4 linked regions of the Xenopus tropicalis genome follow. The protein of the gene in region 2 binds, or shares a complex with, the protein of the main gene of each other region. Links are inferred from orthologs where the notes say so. Each region holds a gene or a part of one and is shown on either strand. Other genes may lie near its edges.

Region 1 (5,038 bases), on a different chromosome or scaffold from region 2:
CCTTGGAGATGAAGTGCCAGACAGAGAAAGGTGTAGTTCCCTGCCCCCACAACACTAAGGAGTGGACTTAGCAAAATTTGAGTTTGCGAGAAAAAAAAAAACCACAAGTAAAAGAACAACCACAATAAAACTTGCGTGACTGTTCTTGTCGGATGCTAGATTATTTAAGGAAAAATGTGACAAATGCTGGTAAGAATCAAAATTTCAGTGAGGCTAAAAAGGCAATGATGCCGAAAAGAAAAAAAAAATAAAGACAACCCTCTGCTTAGTGAATTTTTTTCTGCCGAATTTTTCTTTCTTTAAAAATTTGGTTTTATTTTTTTTTTCCTGCGTTTCCTTCAATTGTGAACAAAATGCCAACTTGAATTTTCATAAAACGACCACTGAGCATTCAGTTATTTAAGTACCAAATGGGTCATATGACATGCACAAAATTTTATGAAGCTTTTTTACATCTTAAATTATGCTTTTTTATGTATATTGTTTTTTCTAATAAAAGAATATCAATGTATTGGCCAATATTTTACCACAACTGAAAGGTTTATCCACTAGCCTTAATGCAAGGACTGTACAGGCAAAAAAGTTGTGTGGTCCTGCCCATTAATGCAATTTTTAGAAGCAAAGCTACATTGGCAGCCTCTGTAGCTTTCTGACCCTAGGTACAGGTGAAGGTAGTTTTCCCCGTAATGTATGTATTAACATAGTGGAGAGAATTCCAGTGACAGGCCACAACTCAGTTTGCTAGTGCTGCAAAAGATGCCAGTGAAAATAAGGGATGTGTCTTAATCACTTACTGTAGGAATGTCCCCTGTAATGTTCTCTGTGACTCATCACTGTTGACTGCAGCTTTACAATGGCTCTTGTACATCACCTCTTGTGGTTAAATAAGGGCTAAGACACACAGAGTTACTTAGAAGTTTCTCGTCACGGCTACAAAACACCAAGAAAATGAGAATTGTCTGTGCTAAAACACAGACAATTATCAGTAAATTATCAACTTTGTCTATTTTTGAAACCACTACAAGTAGCTCCCCATGTCTTAGCCCTAACGTGGCAGAGTAAGAGACCTAAAGTATTGAAAAAAAAATAAAAAACAAGATGATATAAAATTCCAAAAAGAGACACTTATAACAATATATTTTTTTTTTACAGCTGAAAAGTTTATAAATATATTTCCTGTGTATGTTTTATGCATATTTTTTGCATATGGGTACCTGCATTAAGTTTGTTACACTATGGCTTACTGCCTTGAGATATTTGTGTTTCAAATGTCATACTAGTCTGTTCTGACTCCTTACGGTTTAGAAGAACTGGCATAACCCTACAAGGGCCAGTAAGATTCAGATGTTTCCAGGAGTTATGAAGACATCTATATGTAATAAATATGCATAAAACATTGAGATTTTTTTTTCTATTATAATACTCTTAAATATAAACATGATGTAATTTCTCCACATTACTCACATGCTTCTGTATTATAATAAATACTGTAAAATATAAGAATAGTATAAGTTTTGGCGTTTAATGACCTTCATCCTTGTGTCTTTATATGGCTGTGGAACTCCTTGGTGACTTATAATATCTATATATTTTACAATAGGTGGGTACACTATGTGATGTATAACCAGTCAAGTGTTATATGTCTATAAAAAGACACAAGGCTAAAGGCTAAGTTCTTTAAATAGAAGGCACCTCAGAGTTCCATGCCCTAATATGCTCATATTTTACAAAATGAGGTACATTTATTATAATACACAAGTTTTCATGAGTCTTGTGCAGATAATTACATAACTAAGCACCAGTTATAACTGAAGACATTACCAAGCTCTGTTTATAAGGATTTATTTACATGATATTCATGGCTCTTATGTATTTTAAAAAAAAAGCACACGGATGGCACATGATAAATTCCCCTTCATTGCTGGTGCAGTATTATTATTATTAACATTTACTTATAAAGCACCAACATATTCCGCAGCGCTGTACAATAAGTAAGCATCATTCTTTTTTTTTTTTGGTAATTATAAATGTGTTTGCAATTTATTGATCCTTTTTTTGTTGAATACAGAACTGAATGACTTCATTATTCAGCTTGATGAGGAGGTGGAAGGAATGCAGAGCACAATCTTAGTTCTGCAGCAACAGCTGAAAGACTCCCGTCAGCAGTTATCCCAGTTCCAGCAACAGATCCAAACATCTGGTAACAGGACTCCTTCGTCGGAATCCAAGGATGAGGGCGAGGCTTCTGGAAAGGATTGTGGCCGTATACTAAATGGACCAAGCAATGGTGGCTCTTCCCATCAGAGAACACACAGCTCAGTTGGTCTTTATAGGGAGGGCAGTAGCACAGAAGAGGATTTTTCAGCCTCCCCTATCAATGAGGGAAAGCTCCCAAACCACTCAGAAGAGAGAACTAGTAGAGGTGGGAGCAGCTATATGAATCAGCTTAGTACTGGGTATGAAAGTGTAGATTCCCCAACTGGCAGTGAGAACTCTCTAACTCACCAGTCCAATGACACAGACTCTAATCATGACTCCCAGGAGGAGAAGCCAGTGAGTGGAAAAGGCAATAGAACTGTAAGCTCCCGTCACCTTCAAAACGGTTTGGACTCCAGTGTAAATGTACAGGGTTCTGTTTTGTGAAAACAAAAAAAAGTAACATTTTGAACTTGTTTTTTTTTTATACGTCATTTAATTTCAGAGAACATTTTTTTTGCCCAGAAATCCAACATTTTTTTTGTCGCATATTTGCCTTCCTTAGGATTTCTTCCGGCATTGTTGCTTGATGTAATACCTCTGCCAATTTGGACATTTTAACAGTTAATTATGTTGTTGCTAAAATTGCCATTTGTGTTCACCAGTTACGTTTCTAGAGGTCAAGGAACAATGTTAAACTCCAAACATTAACAATGACTGTACAAATGTTATAACCTAAAACCTTTGCTGTGTAAGGGCACAAATCCCCCATTCCATTATTATACTTAGACCTAAATAACAATTTGGTATTGTGAGGGTTTGACTGCCAAAGTTTACCCAGTAATGTAGTTTTTATCAACAAATTTGGACACCTAGATATATCCTGTGGTAGTTTGTGTTAATCATTGTTTTCTTTTTCCTCTTCAAATGACATTTGTACATATCTTATTTTTCTTCTATAGATGGCTGAATGTTTGAGACTTGTGCATAGTTACTCAGTTTGAAGAACTGTTGTACCTTGTTTATGCATATGCCTCTGTGACTCCAATAATACCTTGCCTGTACTGACCAAACCAAAATAAAGATTTTTAATAATGTCGTCACACAAACTTTTGTCTGTCATACACATAAATTCCTTGAATAAAGTTTAATGAAGGTTTTCATTTATCCAGTTAATGATGGTACACATTATCTAGTTTTGTATGTTTAAATGAGTGGTGAAGTGGTTTCAAGATTACTCAGCAAGTCCAGTTGCTTACCACTACTAGATATGGTATTCAAAAAAAAAAAAAAAATATATATAGTTATATAGTTATATATATAGTTGAGGTCAAATTATTTTCTTTTTAACAAGTTCTGATACTGCATGGGCAGTACAATGGGGTGAATCCTAGATGTATATAGGGTCATAAGTGATCCAGTTTTCCCATATATCTGTAACCTTGTTACGATGTAAGAGGATCCCTGGCCAAGGATTGGACTACCAAGTAGGGCCTGAAATCTGGAAGAGCTCTACTTTCCATATTTATGCAGCACTGGCATTTTCTGCAGTGTCTTTAAAGAGAATACATCATTCACTGACCAGTGGAGCTTTAATTTAGCGGTCCTATTGCTTTCACGTATACTGCATGGGCAATTTTATCAGGAACCAATTAACGTGCCTGTGTTTTTGGAGTGGAAAGAATTTATGGTACCTTGAAGAAATCCACAGGAGAAAATACAGGCTCCTTGGTGATAGTGCCCTGGTTGAAATTGATTGCAGCACTCTAGCAGTGCTATCTGTTATACCACCGTATTGCTCCTATTAAAGGCAGCTATACCCTGGCCACACAGTTATGCACAACCAATCATCCCATGGACTTAAAAAGATGAAGAGCATAAGAGGGGCTATGGACATCTTTTGTCTTGATCGTTCCATAAACAGCCACCATTTTATTTCTGAGTTGAGACAGGGCTTCAGGGTGCCAGTGTAGGGACTGATTCTCGGCCTGTGTTTTTTCAGCAGGCCAAGAATTTGCCTGTGGTGTGGCACCAGCCTAAGTGGTGGCCATACATTTAAGCTGCTGATTCGAGTCCTGTAGACTGATTTGGTAGCTTTTCTGCCCATGCATTAGACGACACAACCTCGCCAGACGAGCGTCTCTTACCGTGTATGGCCACGAGGAATGAATCCAGTACAAAGCGGTTCTCATTCAGCAGGGAAACAAAGTCACGTAAGGCTAATGCCCCACAGAAAGATTAGTCGCCACAAGCTAAATTTCTCCTACCGCGTTTCCACTGGCAAAGTGAATCGCAGGTGGAAAGGCATGCGCGTTGCTTCAATTTTTCAAAGTTTCCTCCTGCAGGCAACTTCATGCTGTAAACAAAGTGACGCATATACCTTTCCCTGGCGATTCATTTTGTTGCTGGTGGAAAGGCATTTCTGAGAGAAGTGGCCTGCAGTAACAGATTTATCATGGGCAACTAATCTCTCCATGGGGCATAATTATGGGCAAGGGCAGACAAAGCATATCCTACACTTCTCTACACAACAGTGCAGATACAGGAAATTGCTGTTTAGAGCAGATATGCAGAGAAAAGCAAAGGATTTACTTTGTCTCTGCACTTAGGGAAATGGCCATGGGGAGATTAGTCCTGCAGGAGGAAACTTCAGAAAACCTTCAGTTTATTTTCTAAGGTGTGAGCTAAGGACATTTTAGCTTTTTAGCTTACATTGTGACCAGTTCTAAATTGGGTAGGATTAATGCTGGCCATACATTAGAAGACATTAAAAAGGCCATACATTAAGTTCACCAAACAAGCAGATCTTTCCCCAATATGGCTACCTGAGGTGAGTGATATT
Region 2 (5,384 bases):
GTTACAAGGTACTGTTTTATTACTACAGAGATAACGGAAATCAGTTTTAAAATTCTGAATTATTTTATTAAAATGGAGTCTATGGGGAAACAGGCTTTCCGTAATTTGGAGCTTTCTGGACAACGGGTTTCCGGATAAGCGATCCCATACCTGTACCAGCTTGATTAGCCAATGTGGGCAGATCTTAATGAAGTCTTGGGGAGGCTAACCAGTCAGAAAGAGTTTCAAGCAGAGTATGTAAGTAGTTTGTCATGGGGTTGGTGCTCTATATTTACACTGCATTATAATACATATACAGTATGTGGTTTCTAAAAATATGTGGGGTTTTTGGGAGTCTTTATACAATTGGGGACATACTACCAGACCTGTACTGGGATTCAAAATAGGCCCTAGCAATTCTAGGACACAGAGGCCCAAACAGCCGCCACCAGCCTTCTACATAGTGACTGTCTTACAGCAGCCCCTCTGGCATTTGCCAGAATCCACAGATTGCCAGTACGGGCCTGGTCTGCACATTCTACGGTTGTTTTTTTTATTGCTTATGTGCTGCTCTTAGGATCAGAGGGTGTTAGCAGGAGTACATGAGCTTCTTCTGAATCCAGTGCATTCATTCACAGTCAACACTAACATGGAGGTTAATAGAAACTTCTGTAACTACCCAGAAAACAGCACCATATCCCATTAGCAATTTAGCTTGGTTGCTCCTTGAAATCTATTTGACGTGTATCCTAAGGCCTTAGTGTCATTTAGTCAGACATCCCAAGTCTCACAAAAGGATTGAACAGTGTATTGAGTATTTAATAAAATTAAAAATATATCTGTGAAAATATTTTCTTCTCTAAATGTCCTCTAGTGCTTGCGCAAATGGGGTTTTAGAAGATCAGAAGACATTTGTTGGATTAAAACAAACAAGGACAATCCTGGAAAAACAAAGACTTTAGACCCAAAGGCAATCTTCCAGAGGACAAAGGTATAGTGTTGTTTTACAGACACGTACTTTTTGTGTCACTGAAAATTTTGTGACCATGACCACATTTGTAGCCTCACTCATTACAAACTCAAGGCCCACATCTCCTGCAACTGGCTACATTGCAAGGTGAGGCAGAGGCTTAGGCATAATATGTTGGGTGCATGGGGTGGCAAAAAATGCAGAGCCCCCCAGAAAGCCAGTGTGACCTAGATCATTTCTAAACATGTTAATTAATATACATTAATATGACTGTCTTTGGTAAGCAACCTTAACCTGCTTCCTTAAAAATATACAAATGTTTATATAGTCACATTTAGATATTTATAAATAGTAAAGAGTCAATACATACCTAGTTATAGAATGGAGACCAGGCAATCCTGAATAGCACTTTTAGTTTCTTGGCTACATGAGATTTGATTTAACTATGACACATTTACCTGTAGGAATAATTCCATTTTGAGCAGCTTACATTGTCTATCCCAGATATTGATGCATATGTATGCACAATCTGTAAGAAATATAAAGCTTCTTAACACCAGTCTTGGATTGCGGAATTATTTTTCTAGCTTTTCAGCTGCTGCTTGGCAGTGCACATGCATATTGTTAGTCCCACAGAAGACAAGTTTCTGAACTTTTTTTTTTTCTACATTTGTGATGAAGTTTTCCAATAACTGGAAAGGAAAAGGGAATAGTTATTTATGTCATATGTTTAGACACCAGAAATGTTCATGTTTTCAATAGAAATTGCTACTTTTATTCATTGAGGCAGCATTAAGTTGAAATTATAGCCATTAGACTGACAATGCCATAACATCCTTTTAATTTCAGATTATTGTTCTATTTATCAAAGTCTGCATTCTCTGACTTTCTGATGAAGCTCTTCCCACACGAGCTCAGTTGATTGTGCAAGTTTAAAGACAGTAATCCACTTTCCTGTTTTTTCCCCGAATAGCTTTTGCATAAGTCAGTAGTATGTTTCACACTGCTGTCTTGCTGCATTATTAAATTTGCACCATTTACGCGCTAACCACAGAGATGGCGCAATGTTGTAAAAATCATAAACTTTTCTGGATGATTCTAGACTTTAGAACATTAGTGTACAGTGGCATAAGTACTGTGGGCCACGTGCAGGATTTGCTCCCAGGTTCTCCCTCCTCCCCAGCCCTTTCACCCACCATATACCTTTATGGCGGCTCCAGCAGGCCCTGATGCAATTGTACCCGCTGCACCCCTGGCAGTTACACCACTGTAAATATTTATTCTACAGAGGCTTCACAAGCAAATACCTACTTGTCTGGCCCTTGATAAGAGGTAATAGTCATCTTAATTTTTCATCTAACTATAATAGTAAAAGTCTTATATGCACCTTCTTCATTCTCTCCCATGTATTACTGGTTAAATATATGCATATATTAAATCCTATAATTGAAGCACTCTTCAAAAATGATATCTGCCTGAGGAAATAGTAAAAACAAATGAATAAGATTCTGCGCTCAGTACATAATAATCACTTTCAGATCTCCCCACAGAAATCTTGTTTGTAAAATGAAACAAAAGTAAGAACAACTGCCTGTTTTACTGTTAAATATACATTTTCCTTAGCACAAGTACAAGCATTATAATCACACAAGAGCTTTTAATTATTCTGTTTGTGGACGTCTATTTGCAGGAGCACTGCCTTATGGGTATCAAGGGAACAGTTCATCGCAGCACAGATGGAGATTTCATCCATGCAAATGTTGACATTGATCTCATCATCACAGAGGAGCCTGAAATTGGAAACATTGAAAAGCCAGTGGAGATTTTTCACATTATTGAGCATTTCTGCCTTGGAAGGAGACGGTTACACCTCTTTGGAAGGGATAGCACTATAAGGCCAGGTAAGGCTTCATCTAGAATGAGATTACATTCCTATTGCTGAATACATTAAATATATTGCGAATGCAATATTTGTGCTCTAACAATATAAAATGGCTGGCTCAGGGATAACCATATTGGCCCTTTATCTAATTCCAATGGGGGTTGCATTATAGCACATGTATCCACATCCGACAGGGAGGTGAGTGGACGTATAATCACGTGTGACAGGCAGCCTGGGATGGCAAATGTAAAAGCAGCTGTTTGTATGGCTGATGTAGATGGCAGAGAACACTGCTGCTGAATCTTTGCAGTGAATGAAACTGTTTGGTAATTGGACTGGTGGGAAATCGCTCAAGGCTATACTGTCCCACGGTGCTGTATAGAGAAGGTGAACCCTCAGTCTAATCTGAGTGTATCCAGGCAGCATTGTCTGCTTAATCACCAGTGTCCTTCAACTCTTAAGCACCCATAAATGGATAGGGTTGAGAAAATCATTTACCCACTGCGCATGCCACATATATTCACGCTGGTGTTCTTTCTTAGCCAGTTCTGTGCTTGTAAATTATGAACTTATGCCTTGCATTGAATAGTTTATATTAGTAAGCCAGCACTGTTACCTTAATACATTTATGGAACCAGTTCCCATGAATTGTTCTAATGCATTGCAATGGCAGTGGATTTATATTGGATAATTGTTTTGGATAATTTATACAAACTGCGCTTGTATTCAGACATTGAGTTTCGGCACAATGAACATTTTTGTTAGATCATATTTTAGATTTCTACCCTACTTTAATAGAAACATGGAATACGTGGAATACGTTATTGAAGTCACTTTTTCATATGGGAGCACCATATTTTGGTACATCCTTTGAGCCCAGTTTTTTGTGTTCTCTTGCTTTTTATTATTTATTATATTTTGGCTTTACACTGGTTCACACAGCCTTTGTAACTCACATTCTCTGTTATTGCAGTGTGCTTCTGTATTCTATATTTACTACACCAGATATCCTCGGAGGATGGAATCACAAGTCTGATATGCTTAGTGCTGCTGAGTTGCATGTCACAAAGTAGCTAATATACACAGTGTCACTTTTCTTGCAACTTATTTATTGTGACAAAAATACATTCACATTACATTCTGTGAATTTACAATCTGTTTCTTAAATATATTCCATATCTGGTATGTCATGGGAATGCAATGTGTGTTTATTGCCATGTGTTCCCCCCTACAAATGTTGCAATTTCTTACATCATATTTGTACTCATGTTAAATTATTTCTGCCTGTTCCCTGAATCTACCCTTTCATGGAGGCTCTGCTTTACAGTGTGTCAGAACAGAATGCCTAGGCTCTAGGGACTCCTATAAAATAAATGGAGATGATATACTTGGAGCAAACAATTTCATGTCATTGCCCAAAATCACTTCTGCTGGGAATAGGCTATACGCTATACAGTTCTTTGGGAAAACAGCTGGTGCCGTACTGAGTTTTATTTCTGTGCAAAATCCAGAAGTATTTATATGCCCTTGGTTGTGTATGTGTATAAATGTAATTGCTGCCACTGTAAAACTGTACACTCCTGATGGAAAAGTGTTTTGGTTTGGGATAATGAAAGAAGTCACTTCTCAGAGGCCTGGGCTGGGTTATGGAAGTCATTTGTGGCATGCAATCTGCTTGAGCTCTATAAAACTGTGCCCAGCTGTTGGTTAAGGTAGGTTCCACATCAGTCTGTCACCCTCCAGCTGCTCTTTAACTTCAAATCATTAGGACTGCTACCCTGGTGTATATGTAAACTTTTTTTTATGGTTAAATTATGTTACCTGGATGCTTTTGAGTCTGAGGCATCCATCTCAGCCAATGAGATTTGTTGCTGTTGGCCTGCAAAGTCTTAACTATTCAATCACCTTTGGTGTTCCTCATCTCTAATTTGTGTTTTGTTTATAGGTTGGCTCACTGTTGGACCTACTCTTACCAACAGCAACTTTAATTCAGAGACTTACGCTTCATACTTCAACACTCCAAACTCGCCTCTTACTGGATGCACAGAGGAGATTGAAAGACTGCGTCCCAAAACACCGCCACCTAAGTCAGACCGTGGATTTGGGGCATCGAGAGGAGGAGGCCGAGGCGGACCATCTGCAGGCCGGGGAGAGAGGGGCAGGGAAAGGAACAGAGGCAGTTTTAGGGGAGACAGAGGGAATTTCAGAGGACGTGGAGGACCACATAGGGGTGTCTTTGCCCCCCGCTGATTAAATACAAGGACAGGATTTTTTTATTTTGCACTTCTTCATGTGTTTGCTATTATTTCAAGGATAAATATTCTTATTACCCTGAAGATTGTGCCTCTATAATAAATTAATTTTTTATTTTAAAAAATTCTTGGCATTGGAGTTTTACTAGTTTTAAACTGTATATATAATGCTGACATATGCAGTGAGTCCGTTGGAAAAAAAATACATGAGACCAGTCAGTTGGCATGTAGTGCGTATAGTCTATTGCTGGCCTTACGCAAATCTGGGTATGGGACATGACCTTCTTATTGCATCTGGAGT
Region 3 (5,901 bases), on a different chromosome or scaffold from region 2:
GTGGAAATACGCTCGGAGCCTTCGAACGAACGCTCAGAGCATCCGTATCTTGATAAATCTCCCCCCTAGACTTACACATGTACAGAACATCATTCTCCCTGTCTTTCTACGGGAAGCTGTATTACCAAATATTGTGCTAAATGCAATCTGTTCCTACCCCTTGTGCCAGCTAATGTCTTTACTAAAGTGCACTCTACTCTCTTGTAGCCCTCTCAATCATGCTACGTCATAGCAAAATGCAAGGTTGTAGCAACAAACAACTTTTAACTTGGAAATTTGCGAAGTAAAGCTGGCCATACACGCACCGATAATAATGTACGAAACCTCTTTTCGTATGATATTCGGTGCGTTATGGCAAGTTGGCGAGTCGACCGATATCACAGGAGGCTGCCGATATCGGTCGACTTGCCGATTGGGCGGGTTAAAAGATTTTGATCGGGTGCCATAGAAGACGCCTGAGCAAAATCTGCCTTCAGGGCTGAATCGGCAGAAATCCTATTGTTTCTACCTCCTTATCTGCTGTTTCAGCCCTGAATGTTAGTGGCCGATTGAACGATCTTTCGTGCGATGGTCGCACGAAAGATCGCAATTCGCCATGTGTGTGGCCACCTTAACTCAGGTATTCAGGTACATAGGAAACACACACTTACCTCTAGTCTTTTTTATATTTGCCACTGTCTTCTTGATTTGACCTTCACCTACTCTCTCTAAATGTTCCTGTTATCTTCTAATGACTCTTTCTTGGTCTCTTCTTTGCTTTTCCTTTCTGTCCTATTCTCCTTCTGAATCCTTCATTTTCTGGTATATATGATTTGGCCTTATACCCCTTCAACTTAAGTTATTCCCTTTTTAACAATACCCCATTCTCTCCTACTAGACCCCAATTCTCAGTTCTCTCCTGTCTTGGGTGCAAGTGCAGAGCATGTTTTTCAATAACGCACAGAAACACTCCCTTTGGCCTCTTTTTGCTCAATTCTTTCTTTGGTAATGCAATGTGCACATGGGGATTGTTTCATCCTGCAAAAAAAGCAAACATAAAATGTGTATACAAAACTGCACTATGACTCAGACCCTGCAGGAACACTGAGAATCTGTATGCGGAGTGCGTTTCTGCCTATAACAAGACACCTTTCTCCATGGGTCCTTAGTCTTAAATGTGCATAGCTGCAGTGCTCCCACAAAAGTAATCAGTGGTTCCAAAGGTATAGAGGTACTGAAAGTTAGAGAAGAGATACAGTAAATGCTAAAGTGGACAGAAAAACAAATATATTTATGGAGCACTCAAATAAGGAGCAAGCTGAAGTCAAAGCAAGTAAGTTGTGTGGATCTAGGATGTAGTTTGAGCAGGAGGAGGCTCTGGATAAGAAATAGGATGAAGAGGCTTGGATGTGGAAAACTGATTAAGACTGCATACCCAGGACTACAACATGTTATTATCAGATTGCTAATGTCTGGATATGGCCGCTGGAGCACATGCTTGTGTATACACTAGAAGGCGGTGAGTTTGCAAGTGAGTGGCTGTAGCCAAGCAATATCTAACATACATCAAACTTGAAGGAACTGTTTTCCTGCAGCACATTCATGGCACTATGCATTTATCAAATGTTTTTTCACACTTGGATCTTTGCACTTGCCATCCATTTTAAGTCCCTTTGCCCAAGTAACCCCTACATAATGTTACATCTGTGAACACAATTGCATTTTTTGTTGTATATTCTCCCTGTGCTTTTGTGGGTTTCCTCCGGGTACTCCAAATTCCTCCAACACTCCAAAAACAGACAAGGTGGTTTAACTGGCTTCTGATAAACCTGATGACAGCTCTAGATATATGTATCTTTAAACTGTTAATAGTGTTTTGGCTTAAGAAAGTGCAACCCAATGGTTAACTGAATACAGAATGTGCATATACAGGGTCAAAACTCTGGGTCTTCAACAAGAGCAGCTGAGCCAAGCCTGGTACAAACAGGGAAACCATTAAAACCGAAAATGAATGTAAAGTGCATAATAAATCATAGGACTAATCTTTTTTTTAGCTTTATAACAGCCTAAGTTCTCCTAAGTCAAACACGCCCATCTTAGTTACTTCCCACAGCGCACAGCTACGTCACTTTGTTAGCGACCGCATGGAACCTTACTTTGAGACACACGGTCGCTTCTTATGACGTCTCGTTTCCATAGCCCGCAGTTGATTGGCCGTGTCTACTCTGACTGGATGAGCGCTCTCCATTGAGTTTGCGGGCTTCCCGGCAGGCGTAGCGGCGGTCCTGCTGTATCTCCGGCCTGCGCTCGCCTGAGCCGAGCCCGCCTGCTGTTTTGTTGCCGTCGCTGCGTCACGATCGCTCCGGGAAACCGGGATCAGCTGCGGCAGCTGAAGTGGTTGCCGCCGCAGTGGTGGAAGAAGAAGAAAAAGAGGAGAAGGAAGAAAAAGAGGGGTCAGGAGGAGCCGCTACGGCTGTTACGCGGAAAGGCAGAGAGGGGCGGCGAACCCAGCCGTGCTCGGGCGCTCAGTCACTCCGCGGCACTGGGAGACGCCGCTGAGCTCCCAGTAGCTGCCGCCAAACCCACAGCGGTCACGGCCCGGGATTCCTCAGCCAGCGGCGTTCGCCGCCGCTTCAGACGGCAACAAGGTGAGAGCAGCGCCCAATACTGTTCTACTGTTGTTACCCCTGTATCTGTCTGAGAGCGTATTAACTACAGGGGCACCCAGGATACTGGGGGGGGGGGGGGGGTTGTGCATCTTTGCCTTGGTGCAAGTTAGTGACACTTAGTTACCCCTGTATCTGTCTGAGAGCGTATTAACTACAGGGGCACCCAGGATAGGGGGGGGGGGGTTGTGCATCTTAGCCTTGGTGCAAGTTAGTGACACTTAGTTACCCCTGTATCTGTCTGAGAGCGTATTAACTACAGGGGCACCCAGGATACTGGGGGGGGGGGTTGTGCATCTTAGCCTTGGTGCAAGTTAGTGACACTTAGTTACCCCTGTATCTGTCTGAGAGCGTATTAACTACAGGGGCACCCAGGATACTGGGGGGGGGGGGGGGGGGGGGTTGTGCATCTTAGCCTTGGTGCAAGTTAGTGACACTTAGTTACCCCTGTATCTGTCTGAGAGCGTATTAACTACAGGGGCACCCAGGATACTGGGGGGGGGGTTGTGCATCTTAGCCTTGGTGCAAGTTAGTGACACTTAGTTACCCCTGTATCTGTCTGAGAGCGTATTAACTACAGGGGCACCCAGGATACTGGGGGGGGGGGGGGGGGGGGGGGTTGTGCATCTTAGCCTTGGTGCAAGTTAGTGACACTTAGTTACCCCTGTATCTGTCTGAGAGCGTATTAACTACAGGGGCACCCAGGATAGGGGGGGGGGGGGGTTGTGCATCTTAGCCTTGGTGCAAGTTAGTGACACTTAGTTACCCCTGTATCTGTCTGAGAGCGTATTAACTACAGGGGCACCCAGGATACTGGGGGGGGGGGGGGGGGGGGGGGTTGTGCATCTTAGCCTTGGTGCAAGTTAGTGACACTTAGTTACCCCTGTATCTGTCTGAGAGCGTATTAACTACAGGGGCACCCAGGATACTGGGGGGGGGGGGGTTGTGCATCTTAGCCTTGGTGCAAGTTAGTGACACTTAGTTACCCCTGTATCTGTCTGAGAGCGTATTAACTACAGGGGCACCCAGGATACTGGGGGGGGGGGGTTGTGCATCTTTGCCTTGGTGCAAGTTAGTGACACTTAGTTACCCCTGTATCTGTCTGAGAGCGTATTAACTACAGGGGCACCCAGGATAGGGGGGGGGGGGGGGTTGTGCATCTTAGCCTTGGTGCAAGTTAGTGACACTTAGTTACCCCTGTATCTGTCTGAGAGCGTATTAACTACAGGGGCACCCAGGATACTGGGGGGGGGGGGGGGGGTTGTGCATCTTAGCCTTGGTGCAAGTTAGTGACACTTAGTTACCCCTGTATCTGTCTGAGAGCGTATTAACTACAGGGGCACCCAGGATAGGGGGGGGGGGGGGTTGTGCATCTTAGCCTTGGTGCAAGTTAGTGACACTTAGTTACCCCTGTATCTGTCTGAGAGCGTATTAACTACAGGGGCACCCAGGATAGGGGGGGGGGGGGGTTGTGCATCTTAGCCTTGGTGCAAGTTAGTGACACTTAGTTACCCCTGTATCTGTCTGAGAGCGTATTAACTACAGGGGCACCCAGGATACTGGGGGGGGGGGTTGTGCATCTTAGCCTTGGTGCAAGTTAGTGACACTTAGTTACCCCTGTATCTGTCTGAGAGCGTATTAACTACAGGGGCACCCAGGATACTGGGGGGGGGGGGGGGTTGTGCATCTTAGCCTTGGTGCAAGTTAGTGACACTTAGTTACCCCTGTATCTGTCTGAGAGCGTATTAACTACAGGGGCACCCAGGATAGGGGGGGGGGGGGTTGTGCATCTTAGCCTTGGTGCAAGTTAGTGACACTTAGTTACCCCTGTATCTGTCTGAGAGCGTATTAACTACAGGGGCACCCAGGATACTGGGGGGGGGGGGGGGGTTGTGCATCTTAGCCTTGGTGCAAGTTAGTGACACTTAGTTACCCCTGTATCTGTCTGAGAGCGTATTAACTACAGGGGCACCCAGGATAGGGGGGGGGGGGGGGTTGTGCATCTTAGCCTTGGTGCAAGTTAGTGACACTTAGTTACCCCTGTATCTGTCTGAGAGCGTATTAACTACAGGGGCACCCAGGATAGGGGGGGGGGGGGGGTTGTGCATCTTAGCCTTGGTGCAAGTTAGTGACACTTAGTTACCCCTGTATCTGTCTGAGAGCGTATTAACTACAGGGGCACCCAGGATACTGGGGGGGGGGGTTGTGCATCTTAGCCTTGGTGCAAGTTAGTGACACTTAGTTACCCCTGTATCTGTCTGAGAGCGTATTAACTACAGGGGCACCCAGGATACTGGGGGGGGGGGGGGGGGGGGGTTGTGCATCTTAGCCTTGGTGCAAGTTAGTGACACTTAGTTACCCCTGTATCTGTCTGAGAGCGTATTAACTACAGGGGCACCCAGGATAGGGGGGGGGGGGGTTGTGCATCTTAGCCTTGGTGCAAGTTAGTGACACTTAGTTACCCCTGTATCTGTCTGAGAGCGTATTAACTACAGGGGCACCCAGGATACTGGGGGGGGGGGGGGGGGGGGTTGTGCATCTTAGCCTTGGTGCAAGTTAGTGACACTTAGTTACCCCTGTATCTGTCTGAGAGCGTATTAACTACAGGGGCACCCAGGATAGGGGGGGGGGGGGTTGTGCATCTTAGCCTTGGTGCAAGTTAGTGACACTTAGTTACCCCTGTATCTGTCTGAGAGCGTATTAACTACAGGGGCACCCAGGATACTGGGGGGGGGGGTTGTGCATCTTTGCCTTGGTGCAAGTTAGTGACACTTAGTTACCCCTGTATCTGTCTGAGAGCGTATTAACTACAGGGGCACCCAGGATAGGGGGGGGGGGGGGGGTTGTGCATCTTAGCCTTGGTGCAAGTTAGTGACACTTAGTTACCCCTGTATCTGTCTGAGAGCGTATTAACTACAGGGGCACCCAGGATACTGGGGGGGGGGGGGGGGTTGTGCATCTTAGCCTTGGTGCAAGTTAGTGACACTTAGTTACCCCTGTATCTGTCTGAGAGCGTATTAACTACAGGGGCACCCAGGATAGGGGGGGGGGGGGGTTGTGCATCTTAGCCTTGGTGCAAGTTAGTGACACTTAGTTACCCCTGTATCTGTCTGAGAGCGTATTAACTACAGGGGCACCCAGGATAGGGGGGGGGGGGGGTTGTGCATCTTAGCCTTGGTGCAAGTTAGTGACACTTAGTTACCCCTGTATCTGTCTGAGAGCGTATTAACTACAGGGGCACCCAGGATACTGGGGG
Region 4 (5,909 bases), on a different chromosome or scaffold from region 2:
TTTAATTAATTTATATATAGTGCCATGTCCACATAACTTGTTCTAAATGAAATCCCCCACCTGGGTCCATTGTTGGACCCAGAAAAAATGTGGTTGGAACAAAGACTAAAGGCCCCCATACACGGGCCGATAGAAGCTGCCGATATCGGTCCCTTGGACCGATTCGGCAGCTAATCGGCCCGTGTATGGGAAGAAACGAGCGGCCTGACAGACCGATATCTGGCCTGAAATTGGATCTTATAGTGTATGGGGACCTTTACTCAGGGCTTGCAAACCTTATAAATACTTTATTATACTATTGCATACAACATGTTTTTGGGATTGGCCCCTGTGTGTGTTCAAAGGCTATTTGGCTCCACCTCCAAAAACCTCATCAAAGTGCAATCCATGTCAAAATGTATTTTTCAACAATTCTTGCATTATGTGATGCATCCATTGCCCACATTTGCATATTAAATAAGGGCTCCATTAAATTCTGTGTCACCTTACATAGCTGTAGGACCAACAATAAAGGCCATAATAAATAATAAAGTTCATAAAATATTAGAAAAATCCATTAAAACAATTATCTGTTAAAAGAATATTTTAAACAGGATACTGCCCTCAACAGGTCTATGCAGGGGACCCAAACATGTTTATTAAACATTTAACCCATTCAATTAGCTCCTACATCACTTAATTTATATCAATACCTGAAAACAAAAAAATGCTTGAACACATCCAGTAGAAGCTCCATATTCATCACTCATCTAAAAAGAAAAGAAGGATATGTCATCATAATATTCTAAAGTTCCATATTTCACATACAAGTATGGGACCCGTTATCCAGAAGGCTTGGGACCTGGGGTTTTCCAGATAAGCAGTCTTTCCGCAGAGAAAAAGGAAGCCATTTTTGGCATTCCCTTAATTCTGAACTTTCTGGATAATGGGTTTCTGAATAAGGGGTCCGATACCTGTACTTGATAGTTTTTGTTATCTATTTTGCCTCGCTTTGTAATATTGTGTTCAGTGCCTCACCTAATGAGTCACTTATTGGTGGGCATAAATTAAAAAAAATCTGGGAAATAACCTTTTTACGAGGTTCATGGTTTAAATAGGTTATTGGGATCTGGAGCTATATTCTCCTACATTCTGAACACATTGCCACTGTTCACATTTAATAAAGGGATCAATGCCCAAAACATTTTGTGTACAATCACATAAAAGTATCTGCAAGGCTTGAATTCTAGAATAAAGTACGCTGGAAAATTTGTTTTGAAAATTGCACTTTGCACATAACACGGTATTAATAAATGTACCTTATAGAACATTGTGTTAAAATGTTAAAGAGGTTACCAAAGGTCTACAATCTATATATCCCTGTATAGTAACAATACTGCATTAGGATTGTTTGACAATAACAGCAAAGGAAATACCAGTAAGATATGTTTGAGTGAAACACAAACATGAAATAGTGTATTAATAATCTGTAGGGGTGGTACTACAAAGGGAAACAGACTAGAGATTCAAAGGGCCTAGAATGGTCCTTACAAAAAAACAATTTTAATTACCCAATTTAGCATATGTTTAATAGTTCTAAAATGAATTTGTTGTGGGGACCAGTAACAACTAATTACACCACTAATAATGTGTAAAAAAAAAATCTACTTTTAACTGAAACGACGTTCTCGGCTTAAAATCACTTGAACAATTATGCACCTCCTATCCAGCAGCCTAGTAACCTGCAAAAGTATATAGAATCGATTCTACTGGGTTGTTTAAAACGCTTTGCATCTGATATGCCAATGTTGTCTCTTTCCAACGTTCCTCTTTACATTTCACTGAAATTTTACAAAAGTAAAATTGATATGAAACAAATGAAACCTTAGAAACCATTGTAGCACAAAAGATTTCACGCGTGAAAGGATGGATCGAAGCTTTAATAAACCTGCAACGTAGCCATTAGCCAACCCATAACGCCCCGTGGGAAACGCAGAGAAATAGCGGAAGTGACGTGCCCAAAGACCACCCCATCCTATGCGATCTTGTAAGAATGACTGCAGAGCTATCCAATAGAATTTTAAGAAAGCCAGAAAGTACCCAATCGCTATTCAGGGCGGTCAATTAGGCGAAACCGCTGCAAAATGGCGGAGTGTAGTTGTGTGTGAAGACACTATCATCCCGTAACTCGCCATGAAGGGAAAAGAGCGCTCCCCGGCCAAGGCCAAACGGTCCCGGGGGGCGGAGGAATCAACTCGCGAGAGAAGCGGAAAAAAACTGAGCTCCGGTGGAGGCAGTAACGGATCATCGGGAAAGACATCTGAAAGCAGCACAGGCCGCCGGAGCCTGCATGTGGAAAAGGCTATTTCCTCGAGCCGCGACTATGATCAATCGAGCAGAGCCCAGGGCTTGCATCGCTACGGCTCCCCCGGGGCAAGCAGTGGCAGTAGCAGCAGTAAAGGTGGCGCTGAGAGCCGAGGCGGCGGCGGCCGGGCTACAGAGAGCCGTGCAGAGCCAGAATACTACAAATCCTTGCGGATAAGCGAGCTGGGCTCCTCGCTAAGTGACGAGGCAATAGAGGATGGACTTTTCCATGAATTCAAAAAATTCGGAGACGTAAGTGTGAAAATCTCTCGCGAGGGGGACGAGCGTGTGGCCTTAGTGAATTTCAGGCGCGCCCTGGATGCCCGAGCCGCTAAGCACGCCCGCGGGAGGCTTGTCCTTTACGACAGACCCCTCAAGATTGAGGCTGTTTATTTGAATGTCGGCGGTACTAACCGGAGGCGCAGCCGCAGCCCTGGGGAGAAAGACTCGTATGGCGGACTCGCCGCCGCTGTTTCCACACTAGCCACACACAGGCACCCTCACGGCCAGCGCGCACTCTCCCCCGGCGGCCTGGGCTACAGAGACTATAGGCTGCAGCAGCTGGCTCTGGGGCGCCTCCCACCGGCTCCGGCAGCTCTACCCAGGGAGCTGGACAGGGAACGGGAATACAGCCTTTATGATAGCCGGCTAAGGTCTACCTACACAGTAGATCCCCGACTGAACTTTAGAGACGAAGACCTTGCTTTAGAGATTGATGCCAGAGCTAATCGTACACTCTTTGTTGGAAATCTGGATGTCGTTGTCAAGGAGAGTGAAATTTATAGGGTCTTTGGACGTTTTGGAACTATTACAGAAGTAGATATAAAACGAGCTGGTCGTGGGCAGCAAACGACCTATGGTTTCATAAAGTTTGAAAACCTTGACATGGCTCACAGGGCAAAGGTTGCAATGTCCGGCAAGATGCTTCGTAGTCATGCTTTAAAGATCGGCTATGGGAAAGTAGTACCAACAAACCGCCTTTGGGTGGGGGGTCTGGGACCTTGGGTACCAGTAACTGCATTGGCCCGGGAATTTGATAGATTTGGCACCATCCGTCAAATTGATTACCGCAAGGGGGAAAACTGGGCGTATATACAATATGAAAGTCTGGATGCTGCCCAAGCTGCCTGTACCCAGATGAGAGGCTTCCCTATGGGGGGTGACCATAGAAGACTTCGTGTGGATTTTGCAGAAGCAGATGTTCGTTTTCCACATCCTTATGTTCAGCCATTACCCATCCCTTATATTGATTTTGGAGAGGAGACACCAGGACATCGGACTAGTGAAGCCAGCAGAGCCAGAGATCGTTCACCACCTTTAATATTCAGGGACAGGGAAAGAGATGCTTATACAAACAATGATTGGGTGTCACCTCCTGCCAGAGACAGACACAGAGTCACTAGTGAATCTCTTGAAACAATAGAACGACGTGCAGATAATTGGGCTTTAGACAGAGACCGTGAAAGAGATGAAGTGAACAGAGATCAGCCCAGGAAAAGGAGACTGGATGATAGCCGTCACCTAGACAGATCACCAGAGAGTGACCGCTCTAGAAAGAGACACTGTGTCACTCCTGAACGTAGCCCTGAAGGCAGTGGAGGTCGAGACAACCGTTACAATGACTCTGATCGAGTAGCATGCCGCTCCTCACCTTCTAGAGATTGGAAGGGAAGCCTGGAGCGGGGTCAAGAAGACAAACATGATAGAAAAAACTCAGTTGAAAGAGAAAGAAGGCATCGTGTACCTGCAAATAAAAGCCCTTTAAAAAAGGATGAGCATCCAGAGGGCAACAGCAAAGTGAAACCTCCACAAAAATCAGAAGCAGCACACAAGCTGTGTCTGGCTTGGCAAGGTATGCTGCTGCTTAAGAACAGCAATTTTCCATCCAATATGCACCTTTTGCAAGGAGATCTTGGAGTTGCATCCAGCTTGCTGGTTGAGGGACCTTCAGGAGGAAAGGTGGCACAGCTAAAAATTACACAGCGCCTACGACTTGACCAGCCAAAGTTGGATGAAGTTACTCGACGCATCAGAGTGGCAGGGCCTAATGGCTATGCCATCCTACTTGCCATTCCTGGTACTTCCGAGGGTTCATCAGTGGACCAAGCCAGTTCAACACAACGACCCCTAAGAAACCTGGTGTCCTACTTAAAACAAAAACAAGCCGCAGGTGTTATCAGCCTGCCCGTTGGGAGCAATAAAGACAAAGATCATGCAGGAGTTCTTCATGCTTTTCCTCCCTGTAATTTTTCCCAGCAGTTTCTTGATGCTGAAGCAAAAGCCCTTGTGAAGTCTGATGATGACTACCTTATAATGATTATAGTTCGTGGGGCATCCTAGGTCCATGTTTGTATTTCTGTCTACTATTCACAAGGTATTATGGGATACAGTATAACTTTTAGTTTTTTTTTTTTTTGTAATCGCAAGTTCAGTCTTTGTATTGCAGTTTTTGATCTGCTTAGCAAAAGCATTTATGTAATTAAACAGGACCGGACCATATTCAAGTGTTGACGTTTCCTGCCTATTTCCCATTTTCTTTAAATTATATTCTCTTAGCATAGGTAATCACAATCTTCTGATTTTGGCAACTTCTTGAATTTTTTTAAGTGTGAGATTTCTGCTAATTTTTGAATACATTACTTCTTAAATTTGGTTCCCAAACTGTCACTGGACTGTAACACCAAAAATGTTCTCATGTGATGCTGTCCAGCAACAATTGGGAATACAAAGTTAAAAAAGACTTCCATGTATTAATTTGACCCGTTACCACATGCTCGAGTATCCACTTTTCTGCTAGTTTTCTGCAGCATGCAGTAGAGTTCAGTGTAAATACTGTATGTATGTGTATGTGTGTGTGTATATATATATATATATATATATATATATATATATATATATATAATATATATACACACACACAAACATATATATGTTTATCCTACACATCTAAAGAGAGGATTTGAATGATATTAAGAAGGAATTTTATTTTTAAACTTACTCTGTTTAGTTTATTTCCTCCATCAAGAAATGGGTCATATAGCATGTTTGTAGAACAGTGCCATATAAGTGTCAGATATAAGAGTGCCCCATACCACAGAGAGCTCCTTAGCCAGTATGTAGGTTTCATGCATAGAGTAAGCTATGCAAGGAAGCTCTAAATTTGCCACGTGTCACATAAATCACATACATTTTTACTATGTAGGGTCATAGCTAACAATTGACTTTGTCATTTATACTACATAGCATGTATATAGAAATAAGATTATCAATTGCTCCCTTAATGCATATGTCTAAATTTCAAATCTTTTAGATGTGCAGCTATTATTTTTTGTTTTATTGGCAAGTGTGCTTATAAGTTCAGAAGCTAAGGACGTTTCAAAACACCAGAAATGTGTTCTTGCATATATGTAAACTTTAAAAGAGCCCTGTTGTGTTACAGGACAAAAGATATTACTCGACAGACACTGGAGGGCTTTGTGGGCCATTAAAAGTTGGCGATCATACAATGACAGAATTTGCGGTGTCCTGGCCAGTACACTTACAAGTTAATTTTAGGAATTCCTTAT

Evidence for each region.
Region 1: mettl14 (region 2) and wtap share a complex: the UniProt entries of both Homo sapiens proteins name them as parts of the WMM complex. The link is inferred for Xenopus tropicalis from reciprocal best matches to the Homo sapiens genes METTL14 and WTAP.
Region 3: mettl14 (region 2) and zc3h13 share a complex: the UniProt entries of both Homo sapiens proteins name them as parts of the WMM complex. The link is inferred for Xenopus tropicalis from reciprocal best matches to the Homo sapiens genes METTL14 and ZC3H13.
Region 4: mettl14 (region 2) and rbm15 share a complex: the UniProt entries of both Homo sapiens proteins name them as parts of the WMM complex. The link is inferred for Xenopus tropicalis from reciprocal best matches to the Homo sapiens genes METTL14 and RBM15.

The regions. Positions count from the first base shown.
Region 1 is NC_030681.2:44,085,926-44,090,963, reverse strand, and holds the end of wtap (pre-mRNA-splicing regulator WTAP), read left to right. Parts: intron 1-2,068; coding exon 2,069-2,643; 3' UTR 2,644-3,305; downstream 3,306-5,038. UniProt on the Homo sapiens protein: Associated component of the WMM complex, a complex that mediates N6-methyladenosine (m6A) methylation of RNAs, a modification that plays a role in the efficiency of mRNA splicing and RNA processing.
Region 2 is NC_030677.2:70,544,413-70,549,796, forward strand, and holds the end of mettl14 (N6-adenosine-methyltransferase non-catalytic subunit), read left to right. Parts: intron 1-853; coding exon 854-970; intron 971-2,639; coding exon 2,640-2,850; intron 2,851-4,776; coding exon 4,777-5,081; 3' UTR 5,082-5,191; downstream 5,192-5,384. UniProt on the Homo sapiens protein: The METTL3-METTL14 heterodimer forms a N6-methyltransferase complex that methylates adenosine residues at the N(6) position of some mRNAs and regulates the circadian clock, differentiation of embryonic stem cells and cortical neurogenesis.
Region 3 is NC_030678.2:134,320,983-134,326,883, reverse strand, and holds the start of zc3h13 (zinc finger CCCH domain-containing protein 13), read left to right. Parts: upstream 1-2,083; 5' UTR 2,084-2,627; intron 2,628-5,901. UniProt on the Homo sapiens protein: Associated component of the WMM complex, a complex that mediates N6-methyladenosine (m6A) methylation of RNAs, a modification that plays a role in the efficiency of mRNA splicing and RNA processing.
Region 4 is NC_030678.2:72,274,507-72,280,415, forward strand, and holds the start of rbm15 (RNA-binding protein 15), read left to right. Parts: upstream 1-2,080; 5' UTR 2,081-2,172; coding exon 2,173-4,683; 3' UTR 4,684-4,717; intron 4,718-5,909. UniProt on the Homo sapiens protein: RNA-binding protein that acts as a key regulator of N6-methyladenosine (m6A) methylation of RNAs, thereby regulating different processes, such as hematopoietic cell homeostasis, alternative splicing of mRNAs and X chromosome inactivation mediated by Xist RNA.